Arabidopsis thaliana: one gene and its partner. Changing the gene in region 1 together with any one later gene gives a genetic interaction. Each region holds a gene or a part of one and is shown on either strand. Other genes may lie near its edges.

Region 1 (15,182 bases):
ATTCAACTCTTCTAGTTTTTGCTCATGGCCTTTTATGGCCACCTTGAATTCGAATTATTTGTTCTTATTTTCCCCCTTTTCAATGATATTTTTGAGATCTCTATTTTCTGAAACACTTCATGTACTCATGTTTAACATTATTACAATTGTGTATATTGATCAGTGTCCAAGGAAAGTAACGAGCCTTGATTTGTTGCTTGCTTGCGTGATTTGTGATAATCTATTATGTATGTATTTTGTGTTATATATTATCTTTATCTTAGAAAAAGATTACACATAAAAAAATTATTGTTTAGGGCAAATAAATTCATTTTTCTATATTAAGAAGTTAATATCGCTTTGCTAAGCAGATAATATCATACTAACACGAAGAGTTATATTGGGCTTATATATTATAAAACTATTTTCTAATTTTCCAATGTGGATCACATGTATATTGTACAAGAAGTCATTAAACTCATACATCTTTTCATTGTTTTCATTATTTTAAAATTTACTGTGTATATATAATTGGATCTTTACTGGCTTCGACAAAGACAACATCCCCAAGTACACAAAATCTCATACTCCTCTGAGCATTCATATCTAGTTGTTCATTGACGTTAATTTATAAAGGAATCTTATTTATAAACATATGGCAATATGGCATCAATTTTCATTAATGTTATGTTTTTGAAACACGACTTTTGTAAGTTGTCCAACTTTAAAAGTAATAACTAAAAACATACAAGAGTTTAACTTATTAATAATAGATAAACCGTATCAGTGTGTAGAAAGTAAAATTTCGTTTGAAAAAGATCCAACAGATTCATTAACACAAACAGTTTTGAAAGGCTCATTTAACATAACTTAATAAAAAAAGCATTAAATAAACCTAAAATAAAACTATACCAGAAAGTAAATAAATGTGCAGAAACTGTTAAATGGATCCTCATAACTTGTTTTTGTTTCAGTTATAAAAACTTCAGTATATAATAAACCCTAAATCCTTCTGTCGCTGAACCCAAAATTCAAGTAAACTATTTAGATTTTTGTTCTAATCATTTTTCTCAAGTTTGAAATGATTTTCTCTATATTTAGTCATTGTTATCGTTCCAATGCTGTGGATCGAGAGGAATCATCGACGATTGATCAGCGATTGCTGGCTCCTCAGTCAGGACGACGCACGAGTGAGGATTCCACACGTTGGCAACCGTCTTTATATCCCATCTCGGAGGACGTCGGGGAGAGTGATCGCTCAACGGCCAAGGTCTCAGTCGTACGTGGGAAATCAAAGACCAAAAAGTTGGTTTTATTCAGCTACAAAATCAAGAGAGCCTGGTTAGTCCTCACGTATATATTAGATGGTTTCCGTCTATCTTTTTATTATTTTCATAAATTTCATATTAGCTGGTTAGAAAAAATAATACATATGTTAGATGTCTTTCTATTAAAATTATAGACATTGTCTTTGCTGGATTTACTAAATATATTTTGTTGAATTTGTCTAACAGGAACATTGCAATGTCAACGAATTTAAGAGCCTCGCCGGGGTTGTCTCCTTGTCCGGTTATGTGTCGAACTGTATAATTTTCTTCCCTTATATATGCATTGCGAAAGAAAATTGCATATGATGTAAATTATTATTTTTCTAAATTTTCTTTCAAATCGTAAAAAAAGGAATTGGATATGCGATTATCCATTTTCATGTTGTTGAGCGTGTTTGAAGTTAAAAAGTTTAGTGACAGCAAAGTGCAAACTAAACAATAATTCTTGAAGTGGGTTTTACATAAACCATGAGTACTTGTTGGTTTATCTGTTTTAGATTCGACACAACAATATCTTGGTATCCTCTATGCGTGTTCAAAAAATATACCCTAAAAACAAATCGGTACGGAAAAGACCGTTGCTTTTTGTGTCTTCTATATTTCGAAACCTTCTTTTTTGTAATCTTATTACAGATGAGTCGATGACAAAACAAAACCATCAAAAACAGTAGCGGCTCATACTAATTTTTTAGTGGATTTAAAAAAGTACTTTTAACATTAAAACAATATTTAAATTTTGGTCCTCAAATTTAGTTAAAATATTTTTTTGGCCATACGCATTTGCTCCACTTACACTACTGAAGAACCGCCCCTGATCAAAATATATCAACATATTATTCGAACAAATTCACTACCTTCATGTTTAACCATTTCCATCAATAAGGGGAAAACATAAAGGAAATAGTGACGTGTTTTGACCACTTTTGAATATATTTTTCGTTATTTGGCAAAGTGAAAAAGAACTTTTTATAGCGTGGCAAAGTATACGAACCGAAAATTGTCGTCCTTAATGAAAAACAATGTTCTCCATATATACAATATATATATACTATAGTAATTTATCATGGTTATATATGTTCGAATTCAACATATACGTGCATCATATGTCACAATATTAGAAGATTAGATTTTTTTTTTTTTTTTTTAATTGATACATGTACGTACGAAAATAGATAATGTAGGTGGGAGATACATATCGCTATATCTATTTTATTTAATTTGGTTAGTTTTAATCTCTTATCTTTATATATTTATTTATTTTTGAATAAAATTTTGGTTAACATATACTAAGTTCCCTCCACCACATAAGTACAACCTGTATCATGCATATATAATAAAGAAAATACTACATTCCAAATTAAAACTTCCAATTTAAAATTTTGATATCAACAAATTCCCATTCACGAATCTTGACTCACATGTTCTCTATTGTTTCCCTGTTATTCTCATAACCTTTTTTACAATTACAGCTATTATTAATTGTAAAATTAATCATTTTTTGACATTTTAAGTTAATTACAAAATACAATATTAATGTGATATTAAATTTTAAATAGGTAATATTATTATTAGATTTACTACTATAAAAGATATAATTTTTTACAACTAACACCCGATATATGACCCCACAAAAAAAGAGAGTAATTACCTTTTATATATATTAAAGTGTGTATATATACACACACAAAAAAAGGAAAAGAAAAACCCAAATCTCTACACTGTCGAACTAATAATCACATTTTAAGTAGTCGAGTTTCAAATGATTTTTTCTCTATTCCGTCGATGTTGCCGTTCCACCTCCGCTGTGATTGACGAGCCATCGCTAGGCCATGACTCAAGTGTCTCAGGTGACTCAGTTCGCTCAGATGTCTCAGTTGACTCAGGTGTCTCAACTGACTCAGGTGACTCAGCAGCGCCTACACGGTGGAGTCCGTCTTTACCTCCGATATTGGAAGGTGACGAAACCGAGAGTGACCACCAAAACTCGAGAGTCTCACATGCTTGGTGGTTAAACAAATTACTGAAGAGATTCCGATGATTTCATGGTAGCAAAATGCTTTTTCTCTATCTTGAACTATTATTGAAATCTATTTCATTCTTTTGTCATATATACTTTGTTCATCATAATAGTATATTAATGATTTGTGTTTTGGTTGTTAGGTCGGAATCTTTAAGTGACAGATAGAGAGTATCGCCAGGATTCACTCTTGGTCCTCTTTACATATTGAAGTCTCTAGTTTTCTTCTCTTTAACAAAGCAAATTAGAATGGTGTTGTAATCGTATCGAGGACAGTGTTACAGCGACAAAACCATTTGTAATAAATTTAGATCTCTTTAAGATGTCTTTCTTTCTTCCAAAAAACAACATTGTGATTTTAGTCTTTGTTCTTGACCTAGTTCATGATATAAAAATCATCATCCCTTTTATCTGACCTTCACTCATGTTTAATCAACTTGAATCTTATGAGACCTACTACAATCACACAACTCTCCTCTTCTTAGAGCTTGCTGCAACAATGACTTCATCGAAGCTGATATAGAGTACCTACCGTACCTAAAGTGTTTCATTAAGTTGATCAAACTTGTGAGGCAATGAGATTTTGAGAGGATAGCTTGAACCTCTTTGGATATAGCTACACCAAGATTGCTAAGATGTTCTACCAATTTCAGAATAAATCATCAATGTTCACATCAATTATACAACTTTGATTTTTCCATCTCAAACGTATATATAGAATTTGAGTTGCATATAGATACGATCTTTACCTATACAATCTTGTTAAAGTAGACCACATCGAGGTTGCAATTAATGTTCTCCCGCAATATGTAATCACAAACAATAAAGATTATCAAGTTTTAAGTCTTCCTATATCACAAACTAACCTTTAAGGAGTCTTAAGTCAATTTATGTGTTTCACCAGATTCTACCTTTGTTTAGACATGGATTGTGTCTTTAGCATCCATTCATTCATCCATAGTTACAAATCACCTTTCCATCAAAATGATCCACTCCCATCCATAGTAGTATCCACCACCATTAAAATTGTAACATGGGGCTATGAATATGATAGCATTCTTCGATTCTTGCATCAATCTGGAACCTAAATCGAAGCATAAACTACACCAAATACAATCGTAAACAACCAGAACAAAGATCTAACAACTCATGCTCAAGAACATATATAGATTAATGATGGAGAAGATAGATAAGAGAAGTAGATGAACACAAGAAGTTATTAGTTAAGATCAATCGGTGTGATATTGATCCTACATCTCGGCGAGAGCGGGATTGAACAATTCATAAACTTAACTTCACAAGATCATGGAGAGCTCCATAAATCCGGAGGTTCACGAATCATGGCCAAAAAATCTATCGTACAAGATAACAACATGAACACGGCTCATAAAAAACCTTATCTCTATTAATCAGTAAAACCCTAATTTTCAGCCAATTCCGGTTCAGTTAGTCTTCGGTTTAACATTTTTTCTTCGGTTTAATATTTAAACAAAAAAAATACAAATTCGGTTTAATGTCACACAACCATTACTAAACCGCGTGATTCGAAGCACAACTTAACAATTAGAAATTAGAATATTCATTTTTTTCAAAAACAAATTTGGATTATTGCATTATTGTTTGGATAAAACCACGATGATGTTCACATGACAAAATGATGTTTAGTGAACGAGACGCCAACCGCTTTATATGAACTGTTTTAGTTCGGAGATTTTGCGAGTTCCGACTATGGGTTAGAACTAAAATTTTCCCATATTGTCAAATGATGTTGTTATAAATAATATATTCTCTACATAATTACTGTGGAATTAAGGAACATAAATTTGATTCTTTAACAGAGAAGTGAAGATATTGGCCATGCTTGGTTGGGTTGTATTATGCCCTACTTTTCTTCCCCCCCAACACAAAGAATCCAACCATGTTTAACCAAACCAAATAAATATATAAAAAGCAACTATAAATTATTCACTTGAAGAAATGTTAATTAACAAATCGATAATTTTTATTTAAAGCGAATTCGCCATTCCATGACCATATGGACAAAAAGAAGCTTTATTGGGCCAAAGTACCCACATGCATATCCCACAGCTAATCTTTTTTATTTTTGACATATCCCAGCTAATCATATTCCATGTTTCTTCTATCCTTTTTTTTTAAAAAATTGATTATATTCCCATGATAATCATTTCAATTGTTTTACCTAATCCTATATTTGTTCGGAGTTTCTACTAGAATTTCTATCTACATCAACATCAAATTGTAATAGCTTTATGTCTTTGCTAAAGCACATTACCTATGTAGCAAACAATCGTATTAAATATAAACGAAAATATAGCTTTATGTCTTTTCACTAAAATCAACAATACTAATCCAAATCGGAGATTTGCTTTCGGTAAACATTTTTGTTCGACTTTTTATCTAGAATATTATAAAGTAAGAAATTTTGTGAATAAGTTACTAAAATGAATTCATTACAAAAGTAGATAAAGTATAAACTATCATGATAATTTAGAAGTAAAAGGATTATTTTTTTGTGAATAGTAATTTTAGATAAATAAATTATATATCTACTAAAGAGTAAATAAAAATATCAATACAATTATTTAATTTTTAAGGGCAATACAATTATTTATCATTTTGATTCATAATTAAAAAAAATTGTCGACAAACAAAAAAGCTTCATAATTTTAAATTTAGCATATATTAAGAGATATTTCATAAGAGACACTAATGTCTTTCTAATTTTCATGTTAACTTGGATGTTTTAAATATCAATCAAAAAGGTTATAATTGAGCCTCACCAAAAAAAAAAAGGGGTTATAATTGATCTGATTCGATCAATTATCCAGTGTAATTATATATTGCAATCTAGTTAATGATATAACGTTATAGGTCTCATTTCCTACATTCAACTAAAAGGTAAGCTAAAAAATCTAAAAGATACAAATATCCAACAGGAGAAATATCTTTTTCTCTCATTGTCTATATTTGTTGTTCTTCTATCTCTTTCTCTCTCTTTTTCTTCCACACCCTCACAACTTTACTTACGACTTTATTATATATATACCACCAACCCATTTTGTCATAAAAGATCATTACTCGTTAAGACTTTCCACTACCCATTCTCATTCTCTCTTCAACTAATATTCTTCCCCGGCCCTCATAAAGAAGCTTCTCCTGTTCTTTATTCACATTTTCCAAAATTGTATCTTCTTAAAGTATCTCCAACAAAACTAAATCCTACTAAGTTAAGAGATTTGAAAATGACAAAGATAGGAGGTATTCTTGTTTGTCTAGTCATTGTGGGCTTAGATGTAGCTGCTGCAATCCTCGGAATCCAAGCTGAAGTCGCCCAAAATCAGGTAAAATAAATGTTCTCTTTCAAATTAATAAATGTTGTTTCCCTAATTTATGATGCTAAAATTGGTAATGATGGTTGCATAACATACATACTGTCTCAAACTTAGAAATTTTCTCAAAAAAAAAAAAAAAAACATTAGGAACCTGAATTAATAGATTTTTTTTTAACAAATGAAACCATCGATTTCCTCTATTGTAGGTGAAGCACATGAGGCTTTGGTTATTTGAGTGCAGAGAGCCGAGCCAGGACGCGTTCAGGCTCGGTCTAGGTGCAGCCGCGATATTGGTAATGGCTCATGTCCTACTTAACTTGGTCGGAGGCTGTCTTTGTATTTGCTCTCAAGACGAGTTTCAAAGATCTTCTTCCACTAGACAAATCTCCATGGCTTGTCTTGTCCTCACTTGGTACGTTAATACAAAATCTTCTTGGCATTAATAATTGTTGGTCCAAGTAAAATGACATGATTGGCTGGTGTAATCACAGGATCGTATTCGCTGTTGGATTTGGGAGTATAGTGATTGGGACGATGTCGAACAGTAAGTCAAGATCCTCTTGTGGATTCACACATCACCATTTTCTCTCCATTGGAGGGATTTTGTGTTTTCTTCATGCCCTCTTCTGTGTTGCTTATTACGTTTCTGCCACTGCGGCCAAAGATGAAGCTAAGTGACAAAGTGTCACGGTTAATGATGGAACAGGTAGGTCCTTGTTCTTGACTATATTTATGTATAATCATATAACCTAGTTTCAATTTATTTCTTCTTATGAATCGTTTCACTTATTTCGAAGTCACTTTTGTAATTTTGAAAGCTGTGTCATTTTGAAAAATATGGAAAAGCTTTTATGTCACGCTCTGTTGTCGCATGTGGGGTTAAAATGCACTAGTGATAATGACATTCGGTGGAATCTTGTCTTTGCTTCGGGTCTTTAAATTAATTCAATTGTCTCTCGTTCTCTCTTTTTCACACACACACCTATGTGAATCCTTGTCACGGGAAACTTGAAATCTGTAGAACTGATTTCTAGGAAAATAGAATAATTTTTATAGAAGAGAGTATCAAATGGCACTATGAAGTAGAGAATTGCACAAACATTTTTTACTACCAGAAGAAGATCTGGTCTGAAATCCGACCAAAAAGGAGTTTGTATGAAAACTGATTTTTCTGTTGTTTAACTTCAAAATGTCTACAGTTGTCATATCCTGTAATCAGAAAACTAATGGTTCAAATTTATATCATTAGGATGAATTATTTACTTTTATATATTTATCTCAAATCTTTACATATTTACTTCAGAAATCTTATACGTTTATAGAATTTCCCCTTAGCATATTCTCTAGGACTTCTTTCTCAAAAATGTGCTTCGCAATAGAGACAGTACACTCTCAAAGGGTCTAATACTCATGTCTGTCTCGTCCAGCCATGGAAATGGATCAAATGGTTCTGTTTCTTCCATAAACATCTCCAAGGATTCATCGTTTCTCGATCTTTCCAACGGAAGCAGCTCGTGATTATACCTTTCAGGCTCTGAACAATACTCCTGAATCATGAAAAGCACACACAACTTCAGAAAAATGTTAAATGATCTTGGAGCAAATACACATCTCGAAGAGGGCTCTTTTTGATTGCTTACTTGGTTCGCATGCATTCGTTTCAAGAACATTTTAAACGTTGAGAAATTTGGTTCATTGAGAAGTTTATCAGACAGTCTGAGATATGTGAACCCAAACATCCTCGGTTTACCATCTTGGTTAACTCCATTAGGCCTTGCGTTTAGTATGATCTGGTTATATCCATTTCTATCGAATCTTGGAAGCGCGTTTTCGCCCGCAACTTCAATCCCTTCTCTCCATCCAGAGCTCAAAACCTTCAAATTTTAACCATTACCAAAATCAATTCAAGTAACGAATATACAAAAGTGTGGTATTTACAGATTCAACTTGCTTACTTGTTGAACAAGTTCTTGAGGTCCACTCTTAGCTTTTGCTGGTTGCTCTGTGTTTTTCATCTCTAGACAAGTGAAATTCAAGATAGCGTGATGTCTACGCATTATTTTCGCAATCGCACGATAACCATCTCTGTTTTTGAGATTGTAATAACCCGCCGTAAGTTCTGCAGCATGACTTTCAGTTTTGTACCACCAATGGATTCCAGAGACCTAAAAATTTGAGAAAACAAATTAAGAAAACTATAAATCTTAATCATGTTTAGAATTCATCCCAAAGGAAAATCCTACAAATATTTGATTTACTTTTGCTGCTATCTTGAGTTTACACCCGAGAAATACTTTATTAGCTTCATCAAGAATCTGATCACCATGGAGAAGTAACTTTTTGGAGTACCATGACAAGAAGAAATTTCCTTCTTCCTTAAGGTAAGTCCCATTCGAGTACTCGAAAAACTCTGTTTCTCCTGGAACACTGTTGTATTCGCCTGCGTTTTCCGGAAGTTTCCACTCTGGATGCCCGATTCTTCTAACTTCTTCTTCATAGTCTGATCTTAGATACTTGTCATAACACTGGGATTGAAAAAGTCATACAAAATAAACTTAAAAAGCTCTGTTTTTTGTTTTTTCAAAGCCTAAGAAATTAAGAGTCTTATTTCCTTTTTCTTACTTGAAATTCCCCAATTCCTGGAAAAACCCATCCTTGAGTCTCACTGTAAGAAGGATATCTAAGCTCTCCAGCAGGACCAAGCCCTACTTCAATGTCTATTATAACTCCAGAGCTTATGAAATCTTCCATGTTCTCTCTAAAGCTCTTCATGTAGTCTCTATACATCTAGAAACAGAGCAACGATTATATCAATATATAAACGCAATTTTTTCCGAGTTACGTTCTAAGATCAAGAGTTTTTCATACCTCAACAGCTGTTCGTCCTCTGAAGAGAGACAAGTTATCTACAGAGAGAGACAAACACTCTTTGTTTCTATTACCACTCTTGTTCGTATAGAAGATATCCGGATTCGAATCCCCGATTTCGAGTACCCATTTCGGTATCGGGATGTTGACATCGTCTCCTATGTTGCCTCCACATCTATGAAACGACATTATAGCTTGTAACTTTAGTCCAAAGCTTTGTACGATCGCAAACAAGTTTCTATAAGCACTCCATTGATATTGCTTTGGACCTTTTGATTCAACGATTCCCCACCATACGTCAACCATCACTCCATCTACTTGACTTTGTTTCAGTTTCTTGAGCTGTTTCTTGAGACTCTCTTCGTTTTCAAGAACGTTATCGTTCGTGATGACTCCAAGCTGAAGCATGACGTAGACAGGAACATAGTTGGTCAACATTTTGTCTTCATACGTCGTCGTATTGAACTCTGTCGCCTGTGTTTTCAAGATTAATGATTCAAAAACACAAAACCAGAGAGTTAACAGAAAAAAAAGCTCAAAGATTGTTGTTACTACTAACCTTTGGTTCTGTTGCAGAAGAAGCAGTGGCTTGATGCGTTCTTAGAGATCCCTCCTTGATTGATAATCTCCATTGGACTCGTTTTTTAGTTTCTTTATCTTGTACAAAAATTGAAGATCCTTTGTGGAGATTTCTTCCGTTGATCAGATTAGGGTTCATCATTCCTAATACGCTTGTCATGGTACCTTGCACTTGACGGAACTACAAAAATCATTTACTGGAATCATTATGATCATACACACACAAAAATAATTTTTTCAGTGAAATTAATTAAATTTGCTAATTTTCTGGCGCGTTCGTATGCTATCAACAAAACGTGGCCATAATTTTCTTGCCCAATTTTTTTTTTTTTTTTTTTGTATTTTTGTTTAGTCACGTTTTTATTCCTTGTTTTGTAGTTTCACGGAAAATAGAAGAATGAATTATCATATAACCAATAAATATCTATGTGATACTAGGATAGTGGGGTATGCAACATTCGATCAGTGTCCATGAAGGTTCTCCAGTTACTAATGAAAAATGTATGCTCCTGAGACAACTCATCGTGCCTTGATAAATAATCAATTCCATGGACAGTGGTCGATATAAGATCCTCTGATTTCTAAGAAAGACCAGACCTCTGATTACATATCACCGACAACTTCTGCTTCTTTCCATTTAAGATATCTTATGATTTCTAAGAAAGACCAGACCTCTGATAGGACTGAATCTTTCAAATACAAAGTCATACGGAATTTTCATGTGACTAGTGGCGGCTACATGAGACGACTTCTCATCCGGATTATGAGGCTGAGGTGAGGAGAAGAAAAATACTTCATCGTTGTTTTTGCAGGCAAACAAGAGCTGTGGGCGAGCCAAAGATCTGGTCAAGAACATCACGGTAAAATAGGGATGGCCAAGTATGGAAGCCCATAGCTTTGATAACATCTCGCTATAAATTTTTTTTTTTTTTGAAAATAATATTAAATTATATTTAAAGAAAAACATAGCGTTTGTACAACTAGTGCATCGAATAGTAGAAAATTTTAGCAGAAAATTAGAAACTTTTACACTTAGATCCTTGTTTCAAACCAAACTTGTAATCCGTTATCATAGCGTTTATCGCCTAGAAGTCGGATTGTGGAAAACGGTTTCGGATTTGTTTGTTAATCCACTCGATGATCCAAGAAACTGTGTGTGGAGCTTTCCCATGTCGTCGCCTATTTCTCCACCATTAAGTGAGGTCCTTGGTCGCATATTGCATAGGCATGCAAGACGATCCTCCAATGATAAATCCTAGGGCTTTGCGGCTTCGGCTCTGCTCTTCCACGATTTCAACTTATTTTTAGAAAAAGTTGATCTCAAGTAGAGAAACCGAATGACGTGAAGGGCTGAGAGGAAGCCCATGTAGGACAAAATCAGTCTCGTTTATGTTCGGTCGGGCTTTTTCACCAATCTGGTTGACCACTATCGAGTCATTGGTACCGTAACAACAAAGAAGTAATACGTCTGCACAATATGCATTATCTAATCCGTCGACCAAAACAAAATGGTGTTGGCATTGACTTTTTTTTCTTAACGTCATGGTGTTTGCATTAACTTATCTTTTTTTTCCCTTCACGTAGAAATTTTCAAATGGTACTTCACTTAAGAATTTTAGTTTTTTTTTTTAAACATGTCTTTCTTTTTAGAAAAATCAACTCGGCCTAACCCCGACGCACAAGAAGTTTATTATCAAAACTACGAACAACTCGATAAATCTAGACAATAAAATATTCATCATGAACCTATTAGGAAAAACCGAATTCAAACTATTTTTCTTTTGTACCTTTCTTACTTTATATGTGAAATATTTTAGCTTTTTATCAAATTAACAAACGTAAACAAATTAAGTGAAAATGATTATAATAAATTAATAATGTTCTACTATTGTCAAATACGAAATCTTATGTAATTGTCTTCCATTTTTGGATGATTTTTCAACTTTACATGAACAAAATCTAGTACTATATTAAGATTTAAGAGATTTGCTTTGATAAGACAAAAGAATTGTTAAAGTCAATTAACTTGCATAAGCCGTTGACCAAAACAAAAACATTTGTTTTCTTAACCAAAAAAAAAAAAAAAAAACTCTTTCGATTTGTTTATCCCTCTGTCTCGCTTTCATTGATTATTGTCTTTGCTATTAATCTAATCATCACAACGTTTCTCTTTTCATCTAAAATCGTTTCTCTCCATTAAGACTTTTATTGATTGTTCCTTTTCTGGGTTTTGCCTTCCAAGTCTTCCTTAATTCTTCTTACAACGTAAATACTCATCTCGTGAATTGTTCATAGGAGGAAACTCAATGCAATGTACACTTTGACGTTTAGGGAAAAAATTGAAGACGTTTTTTTTTTTTGTTAATGCGAGTTTTTCGCTAAAATACAAAAGAGGGTTTTAATTGAATCTTTCTCAGCCGCTTCAATAAAGCCATCGACTTTTTTTTTTGTGATTCAGATTGAATCTTTTGATGGGTTTACTTTATTTTTATTTTCTTTGGTATCAATTGGGTTTAACATCATCTCGATGCGATTGTTCATGTTGAGCAGTGTTGACGCCTTCTTCAGAGTAGCAGCAAGCTATTGGTGAAGAAAGTTTCCTGTTTTGGAAGGTACTCATTTGTCTTTCTTCGTTGTAAAGTCTTTCACTTTCGTGGTTGGTTATTAGACACTAGTTTTAGTTGAATTTCGTAAGAGTTAGGTTTTAAGCTATGTCAGTTGTTTTGCGATTGGTTTCAGAACAAAACTAGAGACAGAGAAAGTTTTTGTCTTTGGCATCTATGTTTGGGGGTGTCTTGTCTATGCCTGTCAATAATCCTCACTTGCGCAAATCTGGAAGTAGACACATCGTCACTAATCTCGGTTAGTTTTTGTTTTTATAATAAATCTTGGCTACTAGAAAAATCAGTTTCTGCTTAGTGATTTTGATTACATTTTTTCTGGATGGTTTGTGGTGTTGGACAGGAGATAATGACTTGAAGACTGCAAGTATGCTTCTGAGTACTTATGCGAAATTGCAAACTCCTATATTCCTTCGAAGTCTCAAGGTTTTGTTCATTTACTCAAAGTTCTTAGATTCTCGCTGATTGTTCCATACTATCAAATTTTTCTTCCTGCTTTATATCATCTAACTAGCTGATTTGAGATTCGCTATCTTGATTCTCCAGGTTGCTCTGTATATTGGTGGTCTTTATGTTTGTGGAAAGGTTAAAATTTGAACTCTTATTCTTGCAAACAATGATCTTAGATTTTGATTTGAAGCCATTGTTTGAGTTTTCAGTCTTGGTAATATACAACAATGTTTAAAATTTGCAGGTTGGATTGGAATCTGTAATGAAAATGGGCGTAGAGACAAGAGAACTGTTCTTTTATGAGACATTTCTGTATTATAACCCTCTCCTTCTCATTGTAAGTTACTTTTCTGCTCTCAAATTAGTAAAGTCAAATTGCTTCAAGTGTGTTTCCTCATGTATGCTATTTTGTTCAGACGCTGATGGTCTGGCTCTGGGGTGTTAATTTGTGGGTTTTTTCTCGGTCTGGAGTAGATTATGCAGCAATCTTTTATCTAGGATCAGATCATCTTAGTCACAGAGAGATATGGAAGGTAAACAACTCTTAGTTAGATCATTTGTATATATTTTGATTACATCTATGTAACCGATGTCACAGTGTGCCAGGTGGATGACAATAATTATATTGACTAGCATGACTGCCTATCTGTATCTATACTCGCACGGAGATGTAAAGTTGGCTGCATCTCAACCAGTGTAATAGATGCATCTTCTCTTAAAGTTGTTTCAAAGAGATTTTGATTCATTTTTTCATAAGAGTGACCTTTTCGGATGTTTCCAGGTGGTTTTGTATTTCTCAGCTGTGATTATTCTGATAATCCCTTTCAATATCTTCTACATGTCGTCTCGCTACTATTTGCTTTGGACTTTTTGGCGAATACTCTTCCCTGTGCATGTAAAGGAATACTATTGTTTTTTTTTTCTATTGAAGATTCACTTACATCATCTAACTATCCTTTCGTGTATCACAAACAGGCAGTGACTTTTTCAGACTTCTTTCTAGCTGATATCCTGACTTCAATGTCAAAGGTAACACAATTGTTTGTCTTTCCTATATATATGTATAATGCAATTGTTGAACAACAACAAATATATTTTGCAGGTTTTGTCGGATTTAGAACGTTCAGTATGTCGTATGGTCCATCGACAGGTCAGTAAGTTTTCTTCTTCTTTACGGTTAAATTATGCATAACAAATGCTCAGTGTATCTGATAAATTCGTTGTAGGTGGCTACTGTTGCATGGTTTGAAGCTGATTCGGTTTGCGGGAGTCATTCTGCTGCAATTCCCTTGGTTCTTGTTCTACCTTATCTTTTCCGGCTGTTCCAATGCATTCGTCAGTACAAAGATAGCAAGGACATTGCAAACATCTACAATGGTAATAACCCCAAATCCAAGAGATTCTTTTGTGTTTGGCTTTCTGCTAGATTTCTAACATCTCTCCCTTGTCTTTGTTTTTCAGCTGGGAAGTATTTAACAGCGGTGCCTGTCATCTTTCTCTCAGCCCTCAAGTATTATATCGATCCAGATACATGGACTTACTCCATACAGCCGGCATGGATCCTCTCTGGTCTAGCTAACACTTTCTTCTCCTTCTTTTGGGATATATTACGCGATTGGGATCTAAGGTACTGTGAATGTAAAACAGATTACTCCAATCTTGGATTCAGTGTGATATTTAGATTTCTTACCTCTTTGTTGCTTGTAGTGTCTTCACTCGGATTTTCAAATTCACCAGACCAAATCTTTTCTCCCATCTACTATATGGACGCCGTTGGGTAATATATAGTTTCATTTTTTCATTAAATCTTCAACGACAGTAGCCAAATGTGTCTGAACAATCTTGGATTTTGTGGTTTTGCAGGTATATGTTTGGGTAATCGGAAGCAATCTGGTACTAAGGTGGACATGGACATATAAGTTATCTGCTCATCTCCGTAACAACTACATAACGGTCTTCATCATCACTGCCTTGGAGATTTACAGGC
Region 2 (16,084 bases), on another chromosome or scaffold:
ATCAGACACTATACCACACAAATTCATCCTCTTGAACAAGTCAAAAGCTTCACTCTCATTCTCATCTTGGACATAACTCCCAATTATTGTGTTCCAAGTTACATTATCACGATCACACATGCGCTCAAAAATTTGCCTTGCATCTTCAAGAGCTCCGCATTTTGCATACATATCTACTAATGCATTTCCTACGAATAAGTTTTTTGCTAACTTCTTCTTGATGATGATTGAGTGAAACTGGCTTCCCATTTCTAGATCATGTGATGCAGCACAAGTGCTTAAAAGGCTTGTAAAGGTAAAGTCATCAATGTTATAACCAGAAGATTTCATATCCATAAACAGTTCCATAACCTTGTGGGATTCACCATTATGTGCATAACCCCTTATCATCGCGTTCCAGAAGACGTCATTTTTTTCCTCCAAAGCTTCAAATACCTTTGCAGCAGCCTCCATTTTCTCACATTTCGAGTACATGCTAACCAAAGAACTGCCGACATAAATATTGGAAGCGAGACCTAGTTTAATAGCCTCTGCATGAACTACCAAACCTAAATCAAGATTAGCTACAATCCCAATAGCACTCAAAACGCTTCCTAAGGTAGAACGGGTGGATTTAACACTAGATTTCCGCATATTGAAAAAATATTCAATAGCCACAGTCTCACATCCTCTTTTCCCATGCCCTGAAATCATTACATTCCACGCTACCACATCTGGGCTTGACATCTCCCCAAACAACAGACGTGCATCCTTTAGCTTCCCCAACCTGATGTACGTATTTATAACAGTCACAAAAGCTAAATGATCAGGCCGATGGCCTTCATCCCGCATCCTTTCAAATACTAAGACAGCTTCCTCTGGCAAACCAGCCTTCACATAGCCAGAAAACAAACACGTCCAGCAAACTGTATTAGGATCCACTATCCATTCAAAAACTCGTCGAGCATCACTAATACGGTCACACTTGGCATACATATCAACTAAAGCCCCTCCACAATACGAGTTGCGTTCTAGCCCCATTTTAATCATACTGCAATGAATTTGTCTACCAAACTCTACATTAGTCTCCCTGGCACAGGTTGATAAAACAATCGAAAAAGTGAATTTATTTGGAAAAATCTGATTCTCAAACAATGATACAAAACTCCTTAAGACCTTTCCTGGTTTCCCAATGCTGGAATACATCGATAGCATTGAGTTCCACGCCGTTACATCTTTTTCAAGGAAGTCGAATTGCTTCTCAGCATAAGAAACTTGTGCACACTTGGCATATAAATCCACAATGGCGTTACCTAATCTACCTTCTGAATCTATTCCAAGTATCAAGCTTTTGGAATGGACAGCTTTGCCAATTCTCAAGGCTAGTGCAAGTCTTTGAGGCATTTCGTCGAACACTTTGCGACTCTTGAATAATTTGCATTGCCCCAAACAGATTTCTAGGAGACGTTGATGTATCTGATCATGGCTGGGCAAAACATGTCCATAGATTCGACGACCCAAATCCGGGGAATAACTCAAACGACGTACAAAGGAGAAAGAATCAAACATGGCCGAGGACGGCGTCAAGAGAACTCGGAAATACATGATTGAGACTGCAGTCCGACAAAAAAGGAACCTTGCCGGAGCTAGAACAGAGGTCTCAATTCCTCTATAAACCATGAGAAACAAAAAGCATCCAAACGAACAGGGTCGTCGTGAGTAAAGAAATTCGAAAAGCTGTTTCAAAAAAATTATACTTTTTAGCGGAAAAAAATGAGAAGAATCAACCTTTTCGGGTTGACCCGTAAACCCGCCGGTTGTTGACTCGGATTAGGACTCGTATGTAGTGTGAATTAGAGGTTCTCTGGTCATTTACAACACATAATTAGAGGTTCGATGAAGAAATTATTCTGTGTAAGTGTGAATTTAAATATAGCAAACCTATAAGCTCAAAACTTTGAATATGGCCAATTTATAAAGAAATTTATGTGTGGAAGTATGACTTTAATGTAATTAAGAAATATTAGAGCCAATCTATAATAATGTCTCAAATATAGGGTCTTTTATGCAAATACTTTAAAACTCAAAACTGGTTTTGGATAATGCGTAAACTAAATTAAAAAACGAGAGGTGGGTTACTCTGAAACGAGCCTTCTTCTTCTTCGTTGAAGAAAACATAGAAGATGATGAACACACTTCATGCATTTCAGACAACCTTAACACCAAACTTTCATGTTCTTTTCAATGCCTCGAGACATTCTCTTTCCCGACCCCAATTTCTCTGTCTCTCCAAATCGGGAGACGGAACTTCAGATTCTGATTCTGATCCCGACCCTCCAAAACCCGAAGGCGATACTCGCAGGCAAGAACTCTTAGCTAGGATCGCCATGATTCAGACATCGAAGGTCCGTTTGACGGATTTCTTGGACGAGAGATCAGAGTATCTCACCAAGTTTGCTGAAGAAGCCAATGCGGAGTTTGACAAGGTTGGAGAAGACGCCATGAAAGACCTTGACGAAGCTAGCACAAGGGTATGTATCAGTTGAAAACGATAACATTTTGAAATCTCGTATCATATGGAAATAGTCTTAACCTGTGCACAATACAGTTTTAGAACAGTAGAATGTCTTGTTTCAATGGCTTACCTTAATTCTCTGATGCAGTTTGATCCTTATGAATTGTCTTTACTCTCTAGATCAAGTGAACTCAGAAGCTTTCAGATATTGTGATTTGCTCGATGATATTGCAGGAACAGAACGATAGATAAGCTGATATTGTTTTTCTTTCCGGGTGATTGAGCAGATACTGGAGAATATCGAAAGCAAGATGCAAGCTTTTGAGGAATCTGCGGGATTGAACAGATTAGAGATCGAGGAGAACGATAATAAGTTGGCTGAGTTTGAGGAGAAGATTCAAGTAGACAGGAATGAAGGATTGTTCTTTAAAAGCTTACGTGACAAAAAACCAGTGGATAGAGAGCAAGCTAGAGAGGAAACTGAGAAAATACAAGAGGTTACCAAAGAAAGTGCAGGATCAAAGTCAAGAAGGAATATTTACCTCGGGTTAATTGGGATTGTGGTTCTCGCAATTGCTGATTCCTTCGTTTCTTCACCGGATTGGAGAAAAGTCGCAATTCTTGGAGCTATCCTTGTCCCACTGCTCACTCAATTCGTATACGAGCAGACATTATTATCAGAAGCAGATAAGGGAAAGGAAAACAAGAAGGAATGAACGATAGAAGCCGACAAACTCTGTATTAATCGAAAGAGATGAATATAACTTGATGGCATAGACCCAAAGTGTGAAACTTATCACTTTAGGTTTGATGCGTCAAGCTACAGCTTTTCTTTTGCATCATCAAATATCAGATCTCGATGATGTTTACTCGAATCATTCAAACTAATGTGTATCACCCAAATGCTTTTGATGTATGTATGTATGTATAATACTAGTTCATCAGATGATATAGCTAACTTGATTCTTATCGACTTACTGCAGTTTACCTCCTGTCACTTCCAAGCACCGAGACATACAATTCAACCTCCAAAACAAAGATTCAGGGTCAGAGCATTGTACCTTATCACGCAAAGCTAGCTGAGCTGGCCCAGAGATCATCCAGGGTCAAACTGAACCCTAGAGAGTTATACAGCAATATGCAACAGATTAAGGTTTCCTTTAATATTCATCACATTAGCGATTCACGACAGCTCGAACAAGTATGTTCCAGGTGTAAACAGTTGGAAAAATGCCATGGTTTCTAGCATCATCAAAGAATTCCATAGCATACGACACTCCGCGGCACATACACAACCCTTTCATTATAGTATTGTAGGATATAATATCAGGTTGCAACCCCATCTTGTACATGTAACCCCAAATCACTGTGGCTCTGTTGCTATCTCCAACTTTGAAGAATCCTTCCATCAAGGTGTTGTAGGTTACAAGATTTGCAGTGCAATTCCGATGCTCCATATTTGCCATGACAGTCATTGCATCATCAAGTTTCCCAACAGAGCACAGACCATGAATTAGTATGTTATGCATCATCACATCGGTTTCGAGTCCCGATTGAAGAAATTGGTGCCACAATTCAAGGGCCAAATCGATCTTCCTGTCGCGGCAAAGACCACATAAGAGTATACTATAAGTTTTCAGATCTGGTTTCCATCCGTTTTCAAGCATTTCTTTCACAAAAGCAGATGCTTCACCAAATTTCCCTGCTTTACACAAACCGCAAATAAGAATGTTGTAGGATACAACAGTCGGGCGACAACCGTTCTTCCCCATCTCTCTCAGAAAAAAGGAAGCCTCACCAAGTCTTGAGTCTCGGATTAAACCACCTATTAATGCATTACAGACATGAGAATTTAGCTCCACGCCATGCTTACTCATCTCTTTTACCAAATTTGACGCTTCTTCTAATCTTTTCTTTTTGCACAAACAGTCTATAATTGACGCATATGCATAAACATCCAGATGCCCACCACTGCTCTCCACCTCTTGCATCACCCCCAAGGCTTTATTCACATAACCATTCACACATAACCCGTGAATAAAAATACCGTAAGTAGTTTTGTCAGCTGCATAGCCCTTGGCAGGCATAAGCCTCCAAATCATTGTTGCTTCATCGATCTTCCCATTCTCCAACAACCCTTTAATCAAAATGTTATAACTCACTATGTTAACTGAATTCTTGTGCTCCATGATTCTCCACAACTCCAAACTCTCCTTAATTTTCCCACAACGGCAAAACCCACCAAGCATAGTATTGTATGTAACCACATCAATCGAGGCTTTCCTTTCGTCCAACTCATTAAACACACTTTCAGCCTTATCAACATTACCTGCATCGCACAGCCCATGTATCAAACTGCTATATGTATATAAATCTTTTTCACGCTCATTTTGTTTCATTCTCTCCCATATCTTTAAACAATCATCTACTCTTCCGCATTTGCTCAAACCACTAATCATGATGTTGTGAGTCTTAACATTCGGATAAACAGAAGAGTCCTCCAACAGTCTGTCCCACAGTTCCATAGCCGTCTTGTGATCTTTTTCCTTAAGAAACCCATCAATTAAGATATTATAACACGTGACATCAGGTGCCACTCCTCTTTCAGACATTTCATCGAACAGTTCCAGTGCATCATCCAATTTCCCAGCTTTAGCAAGATCGTTGATCACAGTGCTGTAACTAAACACATCAGGCTTAAACCCCTCTTTCCACATCCAATCTAGAAACCCTCTCGCTTTCTCGAACTCCTTCTTCTTACAAGACATTTTAATCAAAACATTATACGTCTGCAGATTTGGCGCCACTCCAGCAGTCTCGAAGTAGGCGAACAAGGACTCGACTTTAACCCATTGTTTCGCCTCCACGAACGCATTAAGTAGAGTGTTATAAGATCGAATCGCAGGCTCGCACCCGAAAATCTCTCGCATTCGTTTGAAAACATCTAGAGCTTGATCAGGCATGGAGTTCTTTCCGTAGGTTTTGATAACCGATAAAGCGACATCTTCGTCGCATTTACATTCTTGTGACCTAATAAGCTCGACGATTCGACTTACATGATTAACCATCCGCGTCTCCGAGAGACGTCGGAGGATATGGTGGTAAACGACGGCGGAGTGTGCATAGCCTGGATGGCGAGTCGCCGAATCGAATAGAGCAAAAGCCGCACGCGGGTTCTTCTCCGATTTCAAGAGCTTAAGGACGTGTTTGGGTGACAGCGACTTTGGGAACACGACCATGTGAGAGTTTTTGGTGAACGTTATTTCTCCGGCATGTTTTGGGCTTTTTGCCTTTAATTAGAAGTGAAGTAATAAACTCTTTGTTGATTATAGTTAGTCAACAATCTCTTTCGATTTTAAAATTTTAATTTAGGTTAACTAACAAAATTATCAGACTATTCAATTTATTTGTTCCAATGAAAATTAACTAATCAAAATTTGGTTAATCATTGGAAAAAATTTAGGTGTTGATTGGGAAGCCTGGAACCAAAAATATAGCTGGTCGAATGGCGGTTTATTCCGGTTAAAATAGACAACGACAACAAGTGATTCGTTTGAGAATGCATCCCCTCCTTAACATTACAAAGTAAACCAATTGAACCGAAATTAAACCTAAACCAACGAAATACTAAAAACAAAGGTTCAGCTTCATAGAGCTAATTAAACCATCCAATGAACAATTTTGTTGATCAATACAGCCTCATTACACTCCTCGCTATAGAATGCCCGTGACTATTCGCCCACCCTCCGCCGCCGCCACCTCCTGCTCCTCCTGTACCGCTCATTCTCCGACTAGCTTTCATATGTGGCAAGTAAAACTTCAACATTCCGTTTTCCCCATTCTTAGGTGAGTACCTTGAACTCTTATTCCTCCTATCCAATCCGTTGACTTTCCTCGCTGATCCACCTCCGGAACTCCTCCAGCTCACATTGCTATTACTCCTCACCATCCTCGGCCCTCCTCCTCCTCCTCCTCCATTCCTCAGCTCCGGCCATGACTCCGATAACGATCTCTCCACCATTCCACCGTTTAATCTCCTATACCTATCCTCTTCCTCCTCCTCCTCTTCCTCATACTTGTTAACACTCTTCCTGTAAATAAGTCCTAAAATGCTCCACTTCCCCCACCGTCTCGACTTCTTGTTATTATCGTTACTATTCACTTTCCTATCGCCGATCATCATCGCCGGTTCCCGGAAAGATCCGTTATCTGCCGTCTCCACGGCGTAGTTGTTGTTATCTCTCAGTGATCCTGAGTAAGCGTCAATTGATATAGCCGACGACACTGAAAGCTTTGGCTCGTCCATATCCGCCACAACGGCTGCAGCCGTTTTCCTCATGGAGCTACTAGACCTGTCGAGACTTTTCCGCCTCCTTGACGATGAGTCAGTATAGTAGTCTCGGGTTTGGATTGATCCGCCGGGTATGATAACCGGGTCTGACACACCGTTGGTTTGGTTAACCACCGGTGGTGGTGGCGCCGGTTCTTCCACCGGAAACTGCATATCCGCTCGGGTTACGTGACGGTGCACCGGCGGCGGCGCATCCTCCACCACCGAGAGCATTGACGGCGGCGGAGGAGCTCTCGCGGCGGGAGGAAACATTGTCCGTCCAATCAAAGACCCGTCCCAAGAAGCTCTCGGCTCGTCAAACGAATAACGAGGATCATCAAGCGAGATCCTACCGATGTCAACGGAGAATCTACCGGCGTCAAGAGAGAATCTTCCGGCGTCTAGAGAGAATCGAGGGTCGGTATCGCACGACCTCCGACCATATCCGTAATCAGCAATCTCCGATTGAGTATCCCGGAGCTGTCTCCCAATCGGTTTCTCCACCGGTAATCTAGCTGATCCTGGCCGATGGTCGCCGCCGTTACGCCGCTTCTTCATCTTTTGATTCTGCCTCCATTTCTGAAGCTTCTTGCTGAAAACAGAGGCCGCCGACCAAAAACTCCGTCGTACCGATGGCTTCTTGGTTTGAGAATCAAGATCTATGTAATCCTTTATTGGCTTTAACTCCTCTTCGCTTAAACCCTTTGTTGGTTTCACCGCTTCTTCAATCTCCTCTCTAACTTCAACAATCTCGTCGCTTTTTTCCCTCATTAGTTCGCCGGAATCATTGAGAATCTCAAAGTCGCCAGCTTCAACGTAGTCTTCCTCCTCCTCCTCTTCAAGTTCTTCGTCGTCACTTTCAGCTTCTCCTTCATCGTTTACCTCTAGAACAGGCTCCGCAACGCTTGATTTCCTCGGCTCGACATCAATCTCACCGCCGGTGACATTGCTTGGAAGGTTTCGTTGCTCATCTTGGCTAAACAAGTTCCAAAGAGAGCTTCGAAGCCTGACGTCACAAGACCTACGTTGTGGCTCAAACACGCCGGAGAATCCTTCGTTGTTCTTGGATGCTGAGAAAGATTTCGTACGACGGAGCTCCGGGAAGAATCCGGGTTTAACCCGGCCGTTTCCGTTTGTATTTACACCGCCCACTCCGTTGTTTCCGGAAGGCTTAAAGAGAGCCTTGAGAGCCGCAGCAGAGATGGTCGGAGGCTTTTTAGAGGAAGAAGAGGAACCGCCATTGTTGGTCTGATCTAAGACTGAGAGACGTTCACAGAGACAAGAAGGGCAAAAACCGGTGAACCGCTCTTCTGGGTGACGGTTGCAAGAGGTAGAGAGACGGTGAGGCTGCGGAGGTTGTGGAGGCGGAGCAAGAGCAGCTGCGGCGGCGGAGACTGGGTCAGTAGCTGGATTCATGACGGGAAATGGTGGTTAATCCTCCCTCTGGTCTCATATACTATATCGTCATCACTGTCTGGTCTCTGGCTTATAGAGAGAAAGACAACACTTAAGGTTAGAGAGAGAGATTGGGTAGTGTTGTCTCTGAAACTTCGTCTTGTTCCAACGGTAATTGAAAGAGAAAGGAGATGAACAAGAAAAAAACAAAACAAAAGAATTATTATAGAAAAACCAAATTAGTGTTTTCAAATAAACAAAAGTTTTAGGATATGGTTTTAGCGTGTTAATGTACGGTTATCTAGAAATTTTGTTCAGATTTATTCATATGATATAAGCCAAATCTTATTTTTATGTACTATATCTAACATAAAACATATTAAACCTTTGTCCACTTCAATATTTTGCTTTTTATTTTCTTTGTCAGTTACATTTTTTTTTTGTTAACATGCAAATTAATTGGAGAAATATGATATGTCTAAATTGACCTTATGTTCTGTCGATTTTTGTCTCATGTAATGCTAATATAAACCCGTTACTTGTTGGGTCGGTGGCAAAGTGGATTTTTTTCCCTGCTTTGTCAAAAGCAATTTTAACTAAAAAATCAAAATTTTCACACTACTTTTGACAAAATTTTCAAAAAGCAACAACACATGCTTCATTTTAATCTAAAACAATAACTCTATCGTGATTCAACGATAAGTATGGGGTGCGTGTGTTATTTAGTACATGATGATTTTGTTGATCTAATAAAGTCCGTTTAAAGTTACAAACAAATTATTTCAACGATATTAATTGATTAGTTAATACTAGTAGTATTTTGATAGTGCTGCATCTTGTGCATTTCTTACAGTGCTACCGTAATAATCATGTCAATTATCGCATCAATCATAGCAACAGGCGTCAACTATGGAATTTACCCGCTTTAACCACAGTAACAACTAAGAATTTACTAGTATTTGTTTTTAATTTAAAGAAATTTTAAAAAGAGATACTTTGGAATTAAAAAGATTCGGACCCAAAAAAAAAAGGAAAAGCAAATCACGCCATCACACTCCTAATTTCTTGTCTCTATGACACTCTCTCCTTTCGCTTTCTCTCTTCTTTCCTTTTTCTTTTTCTCTCTTTTGTTTTTCTGTGTTATATATTCATACATTTCTCCAAACTAATCTTCTCGATATTCTAACATTAAGACGAAAAACAGAGGTTTAAAATTAAGACGAATAATTCATAACAAAAATCAAGTACTTTCAAAATTCATTTTTAAAGTTATACTGTTTGCAAGAAGAAGAGAGGTTATAGTCAAGAAAAAACACGAGAAAACATTGATCAAGTTTTCGTTATCAAAGACTGTATTATTTGTATGCTTTCTTTTTTTGTTGTGATATGCATTCTATATAACTTTAACTTTAGTTTTATTCCTTTATCTGATCAAATTTGTCTTGGCTTTTCTTTTCTTTCTGTTTTCCCCACAGAATAATATTCAATTTAGATATTCAAATATATATATTTGCTATTAATATGATTTAGGAACTATAGTACGTACGGGTCTCCGAATGTCTCTAGCATGGGAAACAAATATTGTCCTTCACCTAAACGCCGCTCGTTTGGTGAATCATTTTGTTCTTTCGTATAAACTACAACATACTGTACTAACATTCTAGTAACCATCGTAAGATATAATTTACTATCGTATTTTAATTAAGGTAATATTAGAGGATGACCAAATTTGACAGCATTATTAATAAAATAGCCTTCGTGCAGAAAAGTTGGGTAAATAACATTTTTTTATCCTTCGAAATAACTATTTTACCCTTTATAAATGAGATAAACTCTTTCTTTCCGACAATAGCTGCTACATGTAGGAAACAAAAGATAATACGAAATAATGATTACACCGCTACTTCTTAAAAAATCATGCAATATTAGACCACTACTTATTAAAATCACACGCAATATCTCTTATACCTTAAAAATGTATACGTAAAAGAAAACTTAGTTAAAAGATAGCCATTTAGAAACAGTTGTGATTGAGTATAGAAATATTGCATAAGATATTTAAGGACATGCTATTTATTTTTATTACATTAAAATGTAGGTTTATTGTTTTGACAATATGGTAAATGGGTTTCAACAGAGATAAGCAAACCACATATGTGTTATTTATAGATTACATGTGATTGTACAAATTTGCATGTGATTATAAAAAAAAACATAAATCATGAATCACTAACTTACTTGTGATTTTAGTAAAAAAACATAGATTATTTGTAAAATGCACATTATCTTTAAAAAAATATTATCTTATCAAAAAATATAAACGTTTTAGGAAAATATACATATCAAATAGAAAAATAGAAAAATAGCATGAAGTATTCAAAAATTACATGCTATCGTTTGAATTGAGACATACGGATCATTGTAATTTTAGTAAAGAACAAGTATTATTTAAAAGAAACTTTGAAAAATACAATGTTTTAGAATAAAAATACATGTCAACAAAAGTAAACGGCGGTGGTGATGAATACGGAAGAGGCGGTGGTGTTATGGATATGGTGGTGAATACGGAGGCGGTAGTGTTTACAGATCTAATAATACTAAATACGGAGGAGGCGGTGGTGTTACGGATCTAGTGGTGGTTATTGTTGTAAGGGAAGAGGAGGTTATGAAAGCTTTAGTGGTAAAACTATTTGCCTATAAAGCTATTTGTCCCCCTCAACCAAAATCCTATTATAGAAATATTAGAGTAATTTAAAGTTGGTTTCCGACAAGTACTATACGCCTATGGTTAGTTTATATAATATTATGGATTTTATGGTCATCTAGTGCATATACCCTTTTAATTATTCGATTACATTCTTCACTTCTTCCTTTTTTTTTTTTTTTTTTTTTTAAGTAATCTTGAGCAGATTGATATATAGAAAGGATGTGTATTCGTGTGTATATATATATTATCGGACGTGTGGGTAAGAATCTCCCAAGTAAACTAACTCGTTCCCACGTAAGTATAATTCATCATTGGTTCATTATCTATTTATTGTACAGTATGTGTGTATTTCTATGTCTTTTTGTATTAAAGGTAACTTTCGTAGTTAATTCGTAAGCATGTCGTTTTTTTTTTAGTGGTCAAATTGTAAGTATATCTTCTTCTTCTTTTTTTGCGTTTAAATAATTTTTTGGTCGTGTGTGCGTGACGGACTGACGCTCATTGTCATTGTTGCCTCGTATCCCACCTTAAACCTCACGCAATCAATGCCATTAATATAGGTGTCTTTATTAATAATAATGGTGATTTATTAGTAATTCACTTTCACTTTAACGTTTTTTATTTTTATTGCCAAAAAAATTATTCTCTACTATATTTTAGTAAAATACTGAATTTAGAGATATAAACAATAGAGAACATAAATGCTTGTAATTCTGTTTAACGGAGTCAAATTTCTAACAAAGCCAATTTAATTGCAACGCATAATAAGTTAAAGCCGGTTTTATGAACATTGGACAGTAAACCGGTTAGTAATAATACTGCAATCTTTTTTAAAAAAACATAATAATTATTTCACCGCTATATATTATAATATATTATCTTTGGACTGTGTAATTTAATCATGAATTTTAAAAGATCATGATTGTAAATTTCCTCCATTATGTGGTATCAATAAAATGAAGGAAAACATGAAAGAACATTTTGGTGCTAATAATATTATTAGTATGGTAAAAGGTTTCCAAAGTGTTAAACAAAAGTATAACAAATTATAAAAGTATTTTAACAAAGTATAACAAATATTTTGATATTATTCCATTAGTCTATAATTTGTATTATAGTGTTTTATTTGATTTATGAAACACATTGGATTAAAGGTAAAGAAAAAAAGAGAGAGGTATAATCATTACAAGAGAAATTATGAGTTGGAAAAGGACAATCAAATATGAACCTTTTTGGCCCACAACATTCGACAACTCATAGAAATCAAAGGCTTTTCGTTTTTCCCAATTTATCAAGAAGAAAAAACAACCCAACTAATAATTTTTCTCTTTCTTTTTCTTATTTTTAAAATCGGAAAAGATTTATTATTTTACATAAAAAGCCTCTATTTTGGACCCAACATGCTTCTGTATCTCATTCTATTCACATTTATGAAAGTCTCTTTAGTTCCTTTCTTACTCAGATACTCTAACTAATAAGTGTCCATGTATATCTTTGTTATGTACACATCCGTATAAATGGTTGTGCCATTGTATTAAACATGTGATATATTAATAGAGTGTATCATATGGTACGGTCAGGATTAAAACAAATATGTTACACAATGCTATTTCATATGAATTTTATTTATTTATAATTATATGGTAATGTAAATATTGTAAGACAACTTTGTATGAGATTAGGTGAACTAATGACAGATGGAAGAGATGAAAAAGAGACATAAGAAGAGGAGGAAGCTAAACATCTACTTTGAGATTTGTTGTTAGAATTTAAAATTTTATAAGAATGAGGAATCCCAATAAAGGAGGGAGCTGTTTTTTTTTTAGCATGTTACTAAAGCAAGACAAAAAAGCACTCAAAACAGGACAAATTTCTAGGATTTGCTTTATTACTAATTTTCTTTTGTGAAATAGTAGAGATTTCTTAGATGATTAGTTTTTACTTGGCATAAATGTAGAGTTACCGATTTGCATATTTAGTAAAAAATGACTTTAGATTCAAACGATTTTACTACTTGATCATTTTTTAAAACCATTAACTAACTTTATACACATGAATATTTGCTTATGTTTCCTTTTGAGAGTGGATCACAAGCATATATTTTGAACAAAAAGAAAAGAATATCATCGTATATATGTTTTCTTTTGCACACCATTATCGTATATTTTATGTAACTTGTAGATAAATAACTATCACAAAACAAGTCCAAAAAAAAAAAAAAAAGTCTATTACCTAACCCAAAAAAAAAGTCTATTCTTGCCATGAAAATCAGCAGCTAGTAGTAGTTACTAGTTAGTTCTCAAAGGAAGAGACATACGAAAAGGCATAGTTGAAACACTACGGACATATCTTTAACACTACTTTGGTGGATCCGTTTTTTTTTGTAGATGACAGATTCGATCTTGAAAATTACAAGATCAAACAAGTTTAATAATACTATAAAGAAATTACTTTAAGAGTTCCCTATAAGTAACTTTATCAGAAAAAAATGGTTGGTGCAATAAAAATATAAACACAAACCAGTCAATGTAAGACAAATCAGGAAGAGCAACAAAACAATTCATTATTATTGAATTTGTAAGGTGAAGTAACTGATAACTGTACAGAGTTTATTTGTATAATCTTTCTACTTGAACTAATTGGACAACATTCTATCACTAGTTCTATTTTTGTGCTCAAGCATTATCTTGGCAACAATTTCGCTAACTTTATGAGACACATCTGGAATCATTAAAGCTGCTTCATCAAACAACTGAGCTCTAAGTTCACCTGAGATTTGATCCCGAGGAGAAGCTGTAGATAATTCCGATATTGACTGGACGAAAACCGCAGCAGCAGTGTTTAAACCGTGTAACGCTTGACGGCAAGAAGTTATCCTTTCTTGAAGTGACTCGTCTGCAAGTGTATCGTGGAATACTTCTGAAGACGTCTTGTCCTGTGACATAGCAAAACCAATGATGAAACCTGTTTATTTAGTTACATATATACGAACATAATGTTGGCACTTAGCACCATTTCTGGAGATTTTATGCATCTATGAGTGATTTTAAGCCTAGTAATATGTAAGTGTGTCTGTATAATAAATCTGTGCTGTGTAATGTATAAGTGAGTAGATATATACAAAATATGACGTGGTGAAACCTGCTCAGGATGTTCTTCTGAACTATGTGAAGATTGATCATTCACCGTATCAAGAGGGATATGTTCTTGGATCGACCTCAAAGTCTTGTACCCTGATTTTTGGGAGGGTGTACGCGTAAATTGTTTAGTTCCGCCAATGTAGTCTCTTCTTAGGACAAACTGAGACGAATATCTTCTTTGCTGCGATGATTTTTCGGCCTCGACCTATGGTTAAAGTAAACATATTTGGCCATCAAGATTTCTATTGGCAACCTAAAACATGTCGAAGCAAATAGGGAAGAGAGATCTTACATTGTCTATTATTGACAAACTGTTATCAAACTGTTTGAACATGTCCCCCTGCCCGGCAGAATGTTTGGTGCAGAAATTTTCAGGTTTCTGTTGTTTAATGAAAGATGCTTGGATGTTTGGAGTATTTAGAAGATCCAAACACACGTTGTAGATAGTGTTCCAACGGGTTTTTTCTTTCCTATTGCTGTTGAGAAGCAAAATAAAAACAATCAATGTGGTTCTCATAAAAGCAGGCAGAGAGATAGAGAGAAGAATTGCAGTAATGACCAGAAACAAGCTAGAGCTTCTTACCTAGGATCATCTCCTTGAAGCCCTGAAGTTTCAGTATCGTTGGAGCTTTTGGACAGGCTTCCAAGGCATGCATTTTCGGTTCTTGAACCTTGCTTGGGAGTTTGGTATTCAAGATTCACAGAAGAGCATTCTTCAGCATTGTCAATAGTATTTGCCATACTTTTATCTTCATGTTTCTGTTGTGGAGGCAATAAAGATGCCCAATATCAGAAGAACTAAAAGCCTTAGCTGAAATTTTGGGTCTCACAAAGCATTTCATAAAGATACACTCTATCCTGATTCCTAAAATCAGAAAGCAGGCAACTTTTTTGGGGTTGTACCTGGTTTGAAATGGAATCTTGACAATTGGTAGCAATATCAGATGTTTCCACTTTAGCTTGAGCCCATTTAGGAAGCCGAGAAACGCTGAACTTAAATGAGGATGTCCATGGGGAGCGTTGCTGCATCTGATCTGCGTTCTCCTCTACTGGCTTATAGTTTGCAGAACATGATGCATCATTTGGATTGTCTTCCTCCAAATCAACCGCAATTTGCTTGAACTTTTCCAGTTGGGCCACAGTTAACCTGCCATTTTCATTTACTGCCCGTATAATACGAGTAGCCATTCGCAAAGGAAGTTTCCAGACAAAAATACAGCCGTCACTTGCAACCTGACAATAAACACCAAAGAAAAGTTAAAAGCAAAGTTTTATCTCACTTTTTCGTTTTCATTTGAGGCATACAAGAAAGATAGATCCAGGCTTTTGAGCAGAGAAAGCTCTTTTACGGTGATTCAATTCAATAAGAATGAGACATTGATCTTGAAATCATCCAAAAGTCATGGTTCTTACAGTTGTAAGTAACAGAAAACTACAATTCAGAAACTTACTGATATGATATGTTTGCAATCAGGTAGGAAAATAACACCAGTCACAGCTTCACCATGTCCTGTGGCCTGAGCAACCAGCTCTCCGGTGACAAAGTCCACAAAGCAAATTGTCCTGTTAGAGTAGGAGCATACCAAGTAGTTGCAGCTTGGGTCCAAAATGACCTGTGGAAGAGATCATATTGTCAGCACTAGAACATCAAACAATGTTGAAGTCTAACCAAACAGTTTGTTCAATGCACCTTTACGGGATCTCCATGGTCTCGGTCTTGCTTGAATGATCTGACAAGCTTTCCACTTTCTATGTCAAATATGTTTATCTTCTTATCCTGGGATCATGAGATAAAGCATCAGACTTCTTGTTTAATCTGATGGTAGGTGTACGATTAATTGACTCAATATGCTCGAGATAAGGTGGTAATATATTAATGTTCACCGAAAGGTAACAATACCTGTCCCACTGTGACAACAAGTCCTGATGTTGGATCTACAGCCACATCATAGATCGTTCCATGAGAGAGAGTTTGAGTATGAGAAGGTGAAAGACGCACACTACTTGCTTTTCTGTTA

What was found.
Region 2: of AT2G32280 (region 1) and OPS, changing one enhances a phenotype caused by changing the other (phenotypic enhancement), as found in Arabidopsis thaliana (one study listed by BioGRID).

What each region holds. Positions count from the first base shown.
Region 1 is NC_003071.7:13,706,623-13,721,804, forward strand, and holds AT2G32280 (GPI inositol-deacylase C, putative (DUF1218)), read left to right. Parts: upstream 1-6,343; 5' UTR 6,344-6,587; coding exon 6,588-6,686; intron 6,687-6,883; coding exon 6,884-7,089; intron 7,090-7,168; coding exon 7,169-7,355; 3' UTR 7,356-7,383; exon of another isoform or gene 7,384-7,877; intron 7,878-7,893; exon of another isoform or gene 7,894-8,020; coding exon of another isoform or gene 8,021-8,224; 3' UTR 8,225-8,317; coding exon of another isoform or gene 8,318-8,551; 3' UTR 8,552-8,586; downstream 8,587-15,182. Other genes in the region: AT2G32275 (uncharacterized protein), read left to right, coding at 3,067-3,345; BAM6 (beta-amylase 6), read right to left, coding at 8,021-8,224, 8,318-8,551, 8,633-8,842, 8,936-9,202, 9,300-9,464, 9,546-10,019, 10,105-10,284; AT2G32295 (EXS (ERD1/XPR1/SYG1) family protein), read left to right, coding at 12,905-12,986, 13,089-13,171, 13,292-13,330, 13,440-13,532, 13,612-13,728, 13,794-13,889, 13,977-14,090, 14,171-14,224 and 5 more. UniProt on the Arabidopsis thaliana protein: Required, together with OPS, for embryo provasculature development and cotyledon vascular complexity and connectivity.
Region 2 is NC_003074.8:2,762,698-2,778,781, forward strand, and holds OPS (LOW protein: UPF0503-like protein, putative (DUF740)), read right to left. Parts: upstream 8,679-16,084; 5' UTR 8,241-8,678; coding exon 6,183-8,240; 3' UTR 5,944-6,182; downstream 1-5,943. Other genes in the region: AT3G09040 (Pentatricopeptide repeat (PPR) superfamily protein), read right to left, coding at 1-1,659; AT3G09050 (8-amino-7-oxononanoate synthase), read left to right, coding at 2,163-2,510, 2,782-3,210; AT3G09055 (uncharacterized protein), read right to left, coding at 2,372-2,482; AT3G09060 (Pentatricopeptide repeat (PPR) superfamily protein), read right to left, coding at 3,670-5,733; AT3G09080 (Transducin/WD40 repeat-like superfamily protein), read right to left, coding at 13,562-13,861, 14,068-14,271, 14,359-14,542, 14,650-14,825, 14,970-15,299, 15,518-15,679, 15,757-15,843, 15,967-16,084. UniProt on the Arabidopsis thaliana protein: Potentiates primary root protophloem differentiation. Required, together with VCC, for embryo provasculature development and cotyledon vascular complexity and connectivity. Regulates roots architecture.